2 linked regions of the Neodiprion lecontei genome follow. The protein of the gene in region 1 interacts with the protein of each later gene in a pairwise test. Links are inferred from orthologs where the notes say so. Each region holds a gene or a part of one and is shown on either strand. Other genes may lie near its edges.

What was found.
Region 2: the proteins of regulator of MON1-CCZ1 complex (region 1) and abl interactor 2 interact in a two-hybrid assay, tested with the Caenorhabditis elegans proteins (2 studies listed by BioGRID). The link is inferred for Neodiprion lecontei from reciprocal best matches to the Caenorhabditis elegans genes Y50D4A.4 and abi-1.

The regions. Positions count from the first base shown.
Region 1 is NC_060263.1:20,633,990-20,640,315, forward strand, and holds regulator of MON1-CCZ1 complex, read left to right. Parts: upstream 1-2,022; 5' UTR 2,023-2,203; coding exon 2,204-2,323; intron 2,324-2,398; exon of another isoform or gene 2,399-2,429; coding exon 2,430-2,735; intron 2,736-2,850; coding exon 2,851-3,025; intron 3,026-3,100; coding exon 3,101-3,260; intron 3,261-3,341; coding exon 3,342-3,447; intron 3,448-3,670; coding exon 3,671-3,824; intron 3,825-3,901; coding exon 3,902-3,965; intron 3,966-4,053; coding exon 4,054-4,273; intron 4,274-4,347; coding exon 4,348-4,517; intron 4,518-4,628; coding exon 4,629-4,904; intron 4,905-5,005; coding exon 5,006-5,263; intron 5,264-5,411; coding exon 5,412-5,421; 3' UTR 5,422-5,773; downstream 5,774-6,326. Other genes in the region: dimethyladenosine transferase 1, mitochondrial, read right to left, coding at 58-211, 346-973; cytochrome c oxidase assembly factor 3, mitochondrial, read right to left, coding at 1,076-1,336; transcriptional regulator ATRX-like, read left to right, coding at 6,033-6,122, 6,230-6,326.
Region 2 is NC_060263.1:284,294-290,900, forward strand, and holds abl interactor 2, read left to right. Parts: upstream 1-2,097; 5' UTR 2,098-2,245; coding exon 2,246-2,258; exon of another isoform or gene 2,259-2,275; intron 2,276-2,302; exon of another isoform or gene 2,303-2,438; intron 2,439-2,987; coding exon 2,988-3,656; intron 3,657-3,778; coding exon 3,779-4,114; intron 4,115-4,700; coding exon 4,701-4,958; intron 4,959-5,052; coding exon 5,053-5,216; 3' UTR 5,217-6,052; downstream 6,053-6,607. Other genes in the region: TELO2-interacting protein 2, read right to left, coding at 76-303, 380-538, 813-941, 1,240-1,812.

The sequences.
Region 1 (6,326 bases):
ACAATTAAAGTTGAGGCATATGTTCAACATGCGTTTATCAAATTCCAGTATACTCACTCTATACATTTGATAACGTATTTCTGACGAAAACTGAACATGTGCCGGGTAACTTTTTCAAATAAATCAAATTCATGGTTTGTACCAGGCTGTACCAGCGGTGTAAATGTCACAACCCCGACATCCACGTCAGGCTGTGGAACAAATGCTTTGCCTGCAGCAAAACAGGTGGTAATGAGATGAGGAATTTTTGAGTGAATTCTGAGTCGATCCATCCAAAAATATAAGCATAAAAACGTCTCTGCTTTAAATTAATACAGTACTAGCAAAACCAAAATGTTTACTCACCGGGAATGACAAACTTTAGATGCGGTTTGGTCCAAGTCTGTGCCATGACTGACAATCTGCAGCGATCCCGAGCGTATGCTTCTGAGACGAGGCGTTCAGCAACTTCCTTTTGAAATGTGAGTGTCATTTTGGTTCTTCCCATGGCCCACGGTCCACTTTTCTCAGAGATAGCTTTAAGCCAGACGATAATAAGATGAGTCGATACGCTGAATGGTAGATTACCGATCAAATGAATCCTTGGTGGAATATCTTCCCAGCTTTTTTTCTCACACTCAGGAAACAAGTTCAAATTTACATTCAATATATCTCCTATGATTATTTCCATTTCGCCATTGACGTTTTGAAATGTTTCTTGGAGTAGCTGCAACGTAGGCAAAAATCTATTGTCTTTCTCAACTACTATTAACCTCTGTGGATACTTTCTCATTATCGATCGCGTCAATCCCCCTGGTCCAGGTCCGACTTCCAATATATGTCCATCTTTTATTCTACCTGCTGTTTTGATGATTTTATCTGTGAGACGTTCGTCCATTAAAAAGTTTTGGGACAACTGTTTACGCGCTTGAAGGCGATACAGTTTAACCAAATCTCTTATTGTGGGCAACGGAGGTAATCTTAGAATGGTCATTTTGGTGTGAACTTATTATTTTCTGTATATTTTTTCAATGTTAGATCGTAACAACCTATGAATATATCTAATCCTATATTATCGTTGCCTTCACGATAATTGTTATTCTGTCGTTTTTACTGGCTCTTCGAAATCATCAAGGAAATTTTCCTGGCGAACTGCATACATGGAGTACCCGTATATTCCTAGAACCAATGCTCCTAGCGCTAGACCGGTATATCTGTTGTTTCTTTGCATTCGTTTCAAGCTGGCCACTCTCTCAAGATTCCTCTCTTCTATAAGTCGCATGTACTCTTGTTCGACAAGCGTTAGTTTACGAAAGTTTTTCCCTTCATGGATTTTTGGCATCTGCTCATCAGCCATTGCACAACGATCTGAAAACGAGTGAACAAAGCTTCATAAATGAAACGAAAAAAACATTTATTCATTTTTATCCTATTTTGTGATTGCGCCGTTGTATACAAGCAATATTCTATGTTTTGTAGAAGTTCTTTTTTATTATCATTCGATTCAATACAAGTTATAGTATCGTTTACTGTAAGAATGAAATAAGAACGATCTTTGTGACAACTAAATGACTAGAAATATATTGATATTATTTAAACGGCAACAAAGCTGATAGTTGGGAAAAATTATCATGGGGATAAGAAAAATCATTGGAAAACTGAAAATTCCCCGGTTGATTAGTGATCATCAATAAATTGTCGTGGGATCGCAATTAGAGGTTAGAACATCGCGGAGTCTGTACCTACGCTCCAAGTACCGGGACATTTGTAACCACGATACTTAATCGGAACCGTTAACGGCGAACCACATTACTTAATCGTAAAAACCGTTGATATTTTGCAATGACTCACCTCTATATTGCAGAATTTATGGGATGATCTTCAACACACGTAGGTTACGTCGATTGTCACCATGATGGCATTAGAATGTGATGATGATGAGGCCCAGTTTTATTAGAATCTTCAATCTCCGCTAGACGACGCTACCATTGCACAAATCGTCACCTACCATATAGCGACGATTGCAGTTGTACCTTTCTCACCGACCATCATCCATAGGTAGTTTCGTTAATGACAAGTCGCAGGAGCCCTGATGTTTTCAGCCAATTGTATCTTCGAGTAAATTGGAAATAACCAATGACGTGGCTTTTGCTGTGTAAGCGAATTTACTGATACGTGTGAATCAGGTTGTGTTAGTCTTCTGCGAGCTGTCAAATAGCGAAAAATGGAATCAACAAGTAGTGAAGGAAACGATGATTATTACCTCGAATTGTCGCCTGATCCTGTGAGATTCGAATCGATCAGCCCGTTGACAAATGTTTTCTTCGATGACACGAACAAGCAGGTCTCTTTATTTGGATTTTCTTAAACTGCATTGATAACCTAAAATATTAATGATGGATTATCCCTCGTTTGATAGCCCCTTGACAGCTGCAAAATTCATGCTGTAGGTATTCGCTGTTCGTTCAGAGGGCGTTATCGGGGTCCTGGTCAAGGGTCCGGAGCACAATTTGAATTTCAGAATGGAAGACAAGGGTCCCATAATCTCAATCAAGTTCTCGCTCGACATGAACATCCTTGCTATACAACGGACTAATACTTCTGTCGAGTTCATCAATTACTCATCGGCCTCCGGATTGGACAATGTGGAATACTCGCAGACTTGTAAAGGAAAGAATGCCTCTATCTTAGGCTTCGTCTGGACACACAGCAATGAAATTTTATTCGTCACAGATCACGGAGTGGAACTGTTTTTGGTGAGTATCAGGCAGAGATTTTTTTCTACCTACTTTTCCTCCATGTGTGATCACTGTAAAAAGCACCATATAAGTCTGTGTAGATGTTAGATCAATAATACTCTATATTTTTTAGGTGGTTCCAGAGAAGCGAACTGTCAAAGCACTGAAATCCCTCAGTTTGGGAGTCAATTGGTTTGTCTTCTGCCCTCAAAGCTACCTCGTTCTCCTCTCGTCTGGTACCATCGGCAACCAAATGCAAGCGCTGCATATCACTCCTGGAAACTTGCACAAGCTCACCAAATTTGAAAGTGAGACAAACTTCTCGGGATTAACTTTGGAGATTGATTAGCCGATTAACGGAGATAGATATTGCATTGTTTCAGTGGAGGCTGGAGCCACGAAACCTGGGAAGCTCGCAGTTTCGGAGAGAGATGTAGCGTTGGCAGTTCTTTACGGAACCCCATCAATAATTGTGCTGCGCCATCAACCAGGAATCAATCGAAGCCTTGGTACGGCTCAAGTCTACGTCTACACAGTGCATAAGTAATTTTGTAATTTGCTTTTTCTCCGATTTTACCTCTTTCAAAGTACTCTCAATGATTCATTGATGATCCAATGTTTCAGAATGCTCACGATAAAGAAGAGCCACATTTTAAAACTCGACACTAGTGGCCGATTCGCAATCAATGTTATCGACAATCTTATAATTGTGCATCACCAAGCATCCGAAGTAAGTCTTGTTCACAAAGAACTACCTTTTTGAAAACGGTATTTTTTTCAGACTATTGACTGGTAGGAGATAAATCTGCTGATATGTACTGCTTATTTTATAGAAGCAGTTTAGCATCATTTTTCATTACTGATTGTGAACCAATTCGAAGCACTTTTTCTTACCATTGAAACATGGCAGTCTTTGAGTTTTATCTCGAGAGTAATTGATTGATAAATTACAGACTTCGATGATTTTTGACATTAAATTGCCGGGAGTGAGCGACGGCACTGTGATGCATCATACCAGTATAGCTGCACCCAAGCCGATAAGACCATACAGTTTGAAGGTCCCTGGCACGACTCTGCTAGAGCAATTATCTCAGCCCTGTCTACTTTGTATCCTTTTGAAAAAAAGATAATGATTATAAAAATAACAACATTGATCACCAAGCGTTTTACTTAATTTCTCTTAGATTCCCCTGGCTGGGTTGTTTTTCAACCAAATATAATAATCGATGCAAAATTAGGATGCCTTTGGTAAGTTTATGAGAAAAATATTCAACTTGTTTTCAATCTAGGAGTTTAAAAGATGCATGGAGTAAAGAAGTTGTCGATTAATTCACAGGTTTGTTAAGCTGCGACTTGAATCGTTGGTAAAATTAATCCCCGACAAAGTACTGCTCGTTGAGTTTTTAATGCAACGAAATGATTCCAAGCAGGTTTTGATGCAAGTTGTGAAGGAAAATGTTACTCAGCTACCGTCAAGCTTGTTGTACATGTCAACGATTTTTGATAAGTTGAACACTGTTTATCGTAACCACCTCGAAAATGAGTTGCAAAGCCAAGTAAGTGACCATTGTGATGAATAATAGCGATAAAAAACCCATTGCACATTCATCTTCTATCGATCAATCGACAGATGGGAACGCCGCTGCAAATTGGGTCCAAAGGTGTCGCCACAGTGTCAGAAAACATTAAATACAAACAAATAATTGATCAGAGCGATATGTACACTTACATATTGTCAAAGTTTCCCGAGGACACGACAGAGCCAAAAATGGTGGTTTGGATACTGTTGGAATACATTAGGTACATGCCTTGACGAAAAGTGTAGTTTGAAAAGAGTTTTTTTTTTTTTCAGCGTATAGCTCCCTGGGTATAAAATCTCTCAATGAACTTTCTCCGATTTTTTTTCCTTAGGTCTCTGGCCGATCATGATATACCTGTTCAGCACTACCTCCATGAATTGGTAATCACGACTTTGGTTCACCGGAAGGCTTACTATCAGCTGCATCAGTTGCTACAGTATCACGTTGTCGCTGACTCAAAACCACTCGCCTGTCTTCTACTGTCTTTGGAAAGTCTCTATCCAGCTGCTCACCAACTTGCGCTAGATATGCTCAAGCGATTAGGAAATGCTCACGAAGAAATAATGGAAGTCTTGCTATCCAAAGGACACATATTACCGGCATTACGGTGAGCTGAACACCCTTGAAAATGCATCTTACAATTGTAAAAATGAAATTTCATATTTCAAGGTGATCCGCCTGGAGAAAATACATATCTTTCCATTACAGGTATGTCAGATCGGTCGGAATAATCGATCAGGTTTCTGCTCGCAAATTTTTGGAAGCAGCAAAGACCTCGAACGATCCTAAGTTGTTTCACTCCGTTTATAAGTTCTTCGAAAATCGCAATTTGAGACTCCATAACACAACTGCTTTCACAAGAGGGGAACATTGTCAAACATATGTACAGCATTTTAAATATTTATTCCAAGGAACTGACAACGGCTGTAATTCAGATACAAATTCAAATGTATCGACTATGTCATCGTAGGTCGAATCGCAATTTATTTGCTAATCGTAACACAATTATACATATTGATTTGGTCATGCATTGAATAGCGAGTTATAATAGAAACAGCCATGGTTATGTACCAAATAATCAAATGGTATTATTTTTTTTTTCCTCTACCTTAAGGTTTGGCTGAAATTATCAGGAATAATTAACTCAGCATTCGCGTATCATCACGCTTATGTTTTTGTTCAATGCCCACAATTCACAAGACTAGTGCAATCAAGAATTTGTGAAATTTGTGAACAGGATGATAAACATGCATGGAAAACCAGAAAAATGCAGAAAGTAAGGAACTAGCAAACTATTTGTAATCTTACGGTCATTCCGTTTCATTTCTCGTACTGTTCTGTGATACATTATAATTAATGCTGTGTTGAGAATGGTGCTGCTTGAAGCTCTGTTGTGTAAATTATAATATTGTATAAAAACATTTCCGTGGGATATGTTATTATGAGGATAATATATGTAAAATATTTGTTTTTGAATTTACTATTATTGACTGAATATTACCGCATGGAATAAGTCTGGTATATTTTCGTTCCCATCACGAAGTTACTATTACTTTGTGGTTCCCACGAATGACAAGTTGACAAAAAATCGAACGTCTCTCATTATCCACAAACTTTTCACCGAATGCATAACGAACTGATTTAAAGTACGCAATAATAGCTACATTCACGTTGTCGCCGAAGCCAATCTCTACAACTTCAGAGAGGCAAAGTGATAGCTGGTAGAATTATCAAAATGGCGATGATGGTCGGAGGTCTAATTGAACGAGTGAATACAATTGATGAAAATAAACAAGTACTGAGTGAATTAGCGAGAAATAACGAGGTGAAGATCAATTGCGTAAAGTGTAAACTATGCGTAGAAAATTTTTTATCATTGAATCCGTATCGCTAAGATCGATTAAATCGTAATTGTTCTGCCGCATTTTTCAGTTCGTCGAACCCAGCAAAGAAAAACTCGACAAACTATTCGATAAATTGAACGCTGAGAATGCGAGAGAAATTGTAAATTACATGCACAGCTATGAAC
Region 2 (6,607 bases), about 20 Mb from region 1:
TACAATCATTTCTTAACGTTCTCTTCATTCATCTCGCCATATTCAATATAATTACGACCTACTACTCAAACTCACTTCCATTGTGACTTTCAGAGTTTTGAGATCTGTATGGTGCTCACAGTACTCTGACAAAATCCTCGTTAATCTTTCGCACCACTTGGCACACCCGATATTGGTCAAGAGTCCTGGCAAGCTGGACATGTAAGCATGTCGCAAATGGGCATCTTGTTCGAACTCCATACTACTCAGTAACGACAAGATGACGTCATCTCGTATAGTCCACTGTAAGGGGCAAGTTTTTTGCTTAATTAAAACAATTATGAAATACTGATAAGAATGTTGGTAGAAGGGAATCCGTCTATAGGCATATTATTCGTACTTGTAGAGAATCTGTGTTGTTGTAGTATTCCAATGTTGACAAAAGGCTCCTTATGCAAGAGTACAACGGGATAATGTATGCCACTTCTCGAATAATTAACAACCTCTTCAAGGCATCGTATATCACCTCTGCGTATCCAGTATCCACAAGCTCTTTCCTCTGAAAATGCAGTGATCCTAGTACCAATTTATCAGTATTAAGATTGTGTGATTTACACATTCTTTCAGATTGAAAAAGAGTTCAGTCACCCTCATCATGGTCAAAAGAAGTCTATCATTAGTAATCGTAGAGTTCGCAGGTTCGCGTATATCTAAATGGTTCTAAAAAGCAAAGTATTGTAACAATTTTTCTTAAAAAAAGGTGATCTATCAATGCCTGCTAGTACCAGTAACTTCATTGCAAAGAAATTAACTGTAGTTAGAAAATACACTACCATTTGTGCGTGTTGTAAAATCTTCCCAATACATTTTATTCCAGTCAGTCTATTTTCAACAACGTAATCATCCAAGATTATCAGCGCGGTTGGTATTATACTGTTCATGTGACGGACAAGATTAGGTTCCTGTAAATACAAAAATGCATGAGGTTGGAGATGATATCGTTGGCTGCCACAAAATGTGAACATGACATTCAGTTACTTGAAATGTTTCACGGTTTAGGAGTGGAACTGAGAATAAGTTATTATTTAAAAGCAAACTTGAAGCTCATTCAATCTATTATTCCATATACTTAGTTTTTCCAGAGATGACTTTATTTTCATATGTTTGTTACGTTGTTGTTACAAACTTTGAAACTGAAAGAAATTCTTTGATATCAACACATAACTAACCAAAAGTCATGAGTGCAGGGGTTTGACCAACCTCTACTTGCCATAATATCCACTTGTAACAAATTACAGCCGCAGGATAATTCTTCCAAGTATCCTTGAAGAGCTTTGGCCTAAGAACGAGGAGCACTGCCTCAATTACGCCACTGCCATCCACACTAGATCCCTCGCCTCCCTTTCCGACTAATAGCTCGGACATGGATCGACACTTGCAGAGATCGCAGAGGTTAGATTGAATGGAGCTGACTATGGACACCGACTCTGCGGTGTTCCACACGTTCTTCTCGCTCTGTTCGCCGATGATGATAATCAAGTTTATCAGGTAAGTGCGAAGGGGGTGACTCCGCGATGCAGTTTCCCTGACGTTTTGCTCCCCAAAAGTCGTTGCTACGTGACGAAGCGTAGCCTCCACATTCCGCAAATTTCTGTTTACGATCTGCCTGTACTCACTGTAATCCTTTTCTTCGCAGGGTCGTTCATTTCCAATTTTTTTACACGGTACCAACGTGCCCTCGGTCAGCTGAACGCAACTTCTCCATAAATCGTCGTTTAATGTGTTGCCAGTTATCTTCATCGACTCCAATTCACGGAGCAGGTCGTTCATCATAGAGCGGATCGGTTTCCTAGAAATTACAAGATTGCGGCAGCGCCCTGGAGGACTATAAAAAAAGAGTTTGACCGCTCCTCTATCTGTTAACCTTAAAATTTGATTCAAGATTTTCTACCATCCCGCACAACGCATATCGCAGGGACAGAGTCGATCAGCGAGGCGCGATCGTCCGATTTTCGATTTTCGAGTTATGTTTCGAGGGCCGATCGGTCGAACATAGACCGTAGACCATGCTTAATACGGATGTTGGATCATTGAGCATAGACTATAAACGGGATTCACTAAATTCGGTTCCTACGCTACGGTAGTGCTGCATAGTGAGCATCGGTTGATTATTTGATTTTTGATAATACTCTCTGGTTAATATATTGATTGAGAATATCGGTAAATATGAATTAATGCAACCAGCAGTAGTAGCTGTTTGTTGATAATGGCTGAGTACCGTTAGTTTATTTTCTAAATATTTTTCTTAGCTACTTTTTCCTACGTCAGTTCCACAGTATCCGCGCTGTCGTTTGCTTTTGACGTGAGGCACACGCATTGTCACGCCCATCTTGATTGTAACCACACTGACACGTATCTTGTAATTGCTCACTTCACCCTGTTTGACCGCGACTCTATTCGTAAGCACCATTTTCGACACCATTCTCTTCCTAATTAATATTCATCACCTATCAATATTCGTTTTAGGCCGAGAGATTGTCTCTGTATTGTTGAATTCACTTGCTCCTAAAAAATTCTCGCATGTTCAAAACAGCAATAATAAACATTCTTTCCCATTTACCTATCACTTGTTATCAATAACTACAGTTTACTCGCATCCTCTCTTCACAGTAATTGCAATTATTCATTAAGAATTGAATCTTTTTGCAGACCTGAAATTGTCACACAGCTATGCTTTGCCTATCTTACAAATGTTTTGTAATTAATTAGAGAAACAGGCTTAACCTTCTCAATTAATAATTAACTAGCAACAAATCTAACTAAGGGTTAAGAATAGTATTGGTCTTATATAGTTTGTTGCGATGCGAAGTTATCAGAAATTCTGAGCCTATCAAAGAGTTACGGTTCCTTTTTTTTTTGGCAACCCTGTATGTGCATCCAAATATACTCATTATTTTTTAATAGAAAAATAGGCGATCAACACTGACTGATTTTTTAATTTATTGCAGGCAGTTCAGACTCGTATCGTGTGTCTTCAGGAGTGGGAAGCGATTCTGAAGTAATGGCAGAATTAGCGGCACTTTTGCGCCATGAAATCCCCGATGGGAGAAGCCACCTGGCCGATAGTCACACAAATTTGGAGCGAGTAGCAGAGTATTGCGAGGCAAATTATTTCCAAGCCGAGAACAAACGGCTAGCTCTTGAAGAAACTAAAAATTACACAACTCAGTCACTTGCCAGTGTTGCATATCAAATAAACACGCTGGCTTATAACTTTCTGCAGTTGTTGGATCTACAGACTTCGCAACTTGCGGAAATGGAAAGTCAGATGAACCACATTGCTCAGACAGTTATGATTCACAAGGAAAAGGTTGCCAGAAGGGAAATAGGTGTTCTTACTGCGAACAAAATGACCACGAGACAGTATAAGATTATTGCACCGGCAAATCCTGAAAAACCTATAAAATATGTAAGGAAAAGCATTGATTACACCATCTTGGATGAGATTGGTCATGGTGTACGAAGCGGAGGTACTCCTAGAAGCAAACAGCGTGGGGGGAGCCAGGGCAGTGTACAAAGTCTCGGTGCCGCTTCGACTGGTTCTGGTTTAGGTGCAGTCATTGTGGGTCCAGCACCTACTACGAAGCCACCAACTCCACCACAAACAGTCCGAACAGGTAATCAGTTCGTTTTAATAACAGAGATGTAGCCATTGAATAGCTAAACCAAATAGTTTTAGAATTCAAAATATTTTCTAAATATTTTTGATCAACTTTCTATTGGCACTTATTGTTTTCAGGAACACTGAGTAAGGGCTCCCGTGAGTACAGAACACCACCCGCAGTGGCTCCACCCCAAGTTCCCAGTCACTATGCACCCAATTACCCCTTAGGTCATCCTAGACGGGAACGAGGACCCGGTTATAGTACATTGCCACTCCACGCTCATACCACCCCGCATCCCTCTCATGGGCTTCAGCATACAGCTCATACTGCTACTCTTACTCAACACACTCTACCTCCCCAAGTTGGAACTGTTCATCCACTTCAAAGCCATCCGCAAACTCCACCTCCCGCTCCACCCAGTATCACTGGAGCTGCAGGCTATGTCCAAGAACATCTCAACAGCATGCCACGTAAGTAGGTTTATAATTCTCTTAATGACTTAAATAATTTAACTTCGAGCTCTAACGTCAGGTATTGATCCATATGTTGTATTGTCACTACTAAACTATGCTATATGTAATGCAAGTATGATTTACTCGCCTTTTTTTGACTGCGTTCCAAACTTAAAGTACAAGAACAAAGCAGTTTGATGTTCTAGTACTCAAAAGTGCATTTTGGTGTACTTTATGATAACAATCTATGCGCAAGCGATATACTTGGTATATAAAGTATCGTGTGCATCTTATATTGTAAACTTACACTCAGCGTAAATGGACCCACTTTACCTACTTGATGCACAATGTACTATTGTTTGTCAATGAATGATTAATACGATAAAAATTTTTGGCATGATTTCTCAGAAAATAGTAATTGTCAGTTGTGTATTGTCACAGCCTTCCCTGGCTTGTGTTTCGCGAGTTCTGTTGGCTTGTATGGCCAGAACAACAGAAACAGTGATAAAATAGTTTCCTGCACACATTCTCTGATTTTGCTTAATAATTAAATGCAGATTAACTTGCAGATGATCTGCATATCATGTTTTTTTTTATCTTACAGCACCTCCCTCGCCGCTAGTTGGCTCTGGGGGTGAAATGACTAATTACAGTGGTCACCATACTCTGCCGCATCGACTATCTCATCAAGTTAGCCGCAGCAGTGGAGCAAGCAGCCCTCCATTGCCTCCACCGCCACCCCCTGAACACGACGAACATTCTCAATTTGGAAGACCACAGCAACCATCTGGTGCTATTATGCCGATTGTGCCAGATGAGGAAGACTTACCTGGATGGGTACCAAAGAACTATATTGAGAAAGGTATAAATTATAAAACCGAATACTCAGTTACGTTAATCAGTTTTATCCCCGTTTTATGATTGGAATGTAGGAGGTTCGTTTTGTCTTGTTCCAGTGGTGGCCATTTATGATTATTATGCCGATAAAGAAGATGAATTGAGCTTCCAAGAGAGTTCGGTTATCTATGTTTTGAAGAAGAATGACGATGGATGGTGGGAAGGCGTAATGGATGGAATAACTGGACTATTTCCTGGGAACTACGTAGAACCCTGCGTTTAGAATACCTATTTCCTTTCTAATTTGGATCAATTAGTTTTTGTATGATGAGTACTAGTGGTTAATAATCGAATATTACAGTTACAAAATTGTTGTACGATATATGAATCAGTGATTTGAAACTGCACTTTTGCGGTCCAAGAGTCTTTGCATTTGAACACTATTTCGTACGTGTTTGTTCCGCTTGTTATATGAAGTGACGAGATCTTTGCGGGTATTTCAAATGCGAGGCTATCTCCAAACGCGCTATATTGCCGATTCATTGAAACTGATATCCTTGTAGTTTTTGTTACCAGACCACTTCGGAAACAATATCGTACATATGGCTTCAGTAAATTAATTCGTAATTATTGTTTTACTCCTTGGCTCTTCTGAGAAAATAATTCCGTAGTGTCATGAACTTTCTATGAATCCTGAAAAAAGAATTACTCTGCAACTCCTGTAACTTTAGACTAATATTTGAAATGTAAAATAATCAATGAAATCGATCTGGGTGAATAATTTTTTTTTTTTTTGTATGAAATTAGTAAAGAGTACATTCTATATACCAAACTGAAGAAAAATATATTGTAGGTCACAAGTAATTGTGTCCTATATCATAAAATAATAGTCTACTTATTAGGTGTAGTAAATCGCTTTATATGCCTGGAGGTATATCAGAGCGGCCTAGGATAGCTATATTATGAGTGTATAAGTTGACATTATACCCATCTTTTCAAGTTGTTTGCTAATCGTGGGATACTTCTATGCGTAAGGATTACACATAATAGACTGCGATTGTTAAACTACATAAGATTGAATGGAACCTTGTTTACTCTGAATAAACGAAATATTCAGCATACGGGTCTTCACTTGATTCACCTTTTTTTCGAGCGAAAACTTAATGATTTGGGATAACATTCAATCTTTTCCTTACTGATTGGAACCCCAGGAACTCAGAAAACGCAACGGAAAGAGCGTAGGACCAACAGAAGAGAAATGGCGAATAAAATTCTTCGTTTTTCGGCTGTAACATTTCACAGAATGATCGCAGCTCATTGGGACCACGCCTAATCGATTTTTCTCGCAAAATTACGTCGGAATAGTGCCACAATCAATTTATTCCAGCACTTTTGAAAATCGCGAAAATTTTCGCCAAAAATACAAAGGGGTTAACCTTCTTTTTTTTTTGACCAGAAAATTTTTCGTCTCAGAATTGATTCGTATGACTCTTTTCCGACCAATTGGACCCCAAGGAACTCAGAAAACGCAGCAAAAGAAGCGTGGGATCAACGGGAGAGAAGATACAAGGAAGAAAGCACCTGCTGAAAAATGTCGAAAATTCAGGTTTTCGTTTTTTGGCTGTAACTTTCGATGCGTTGATCGCAGCGTATTGGGACTGCGCCCAATCGATT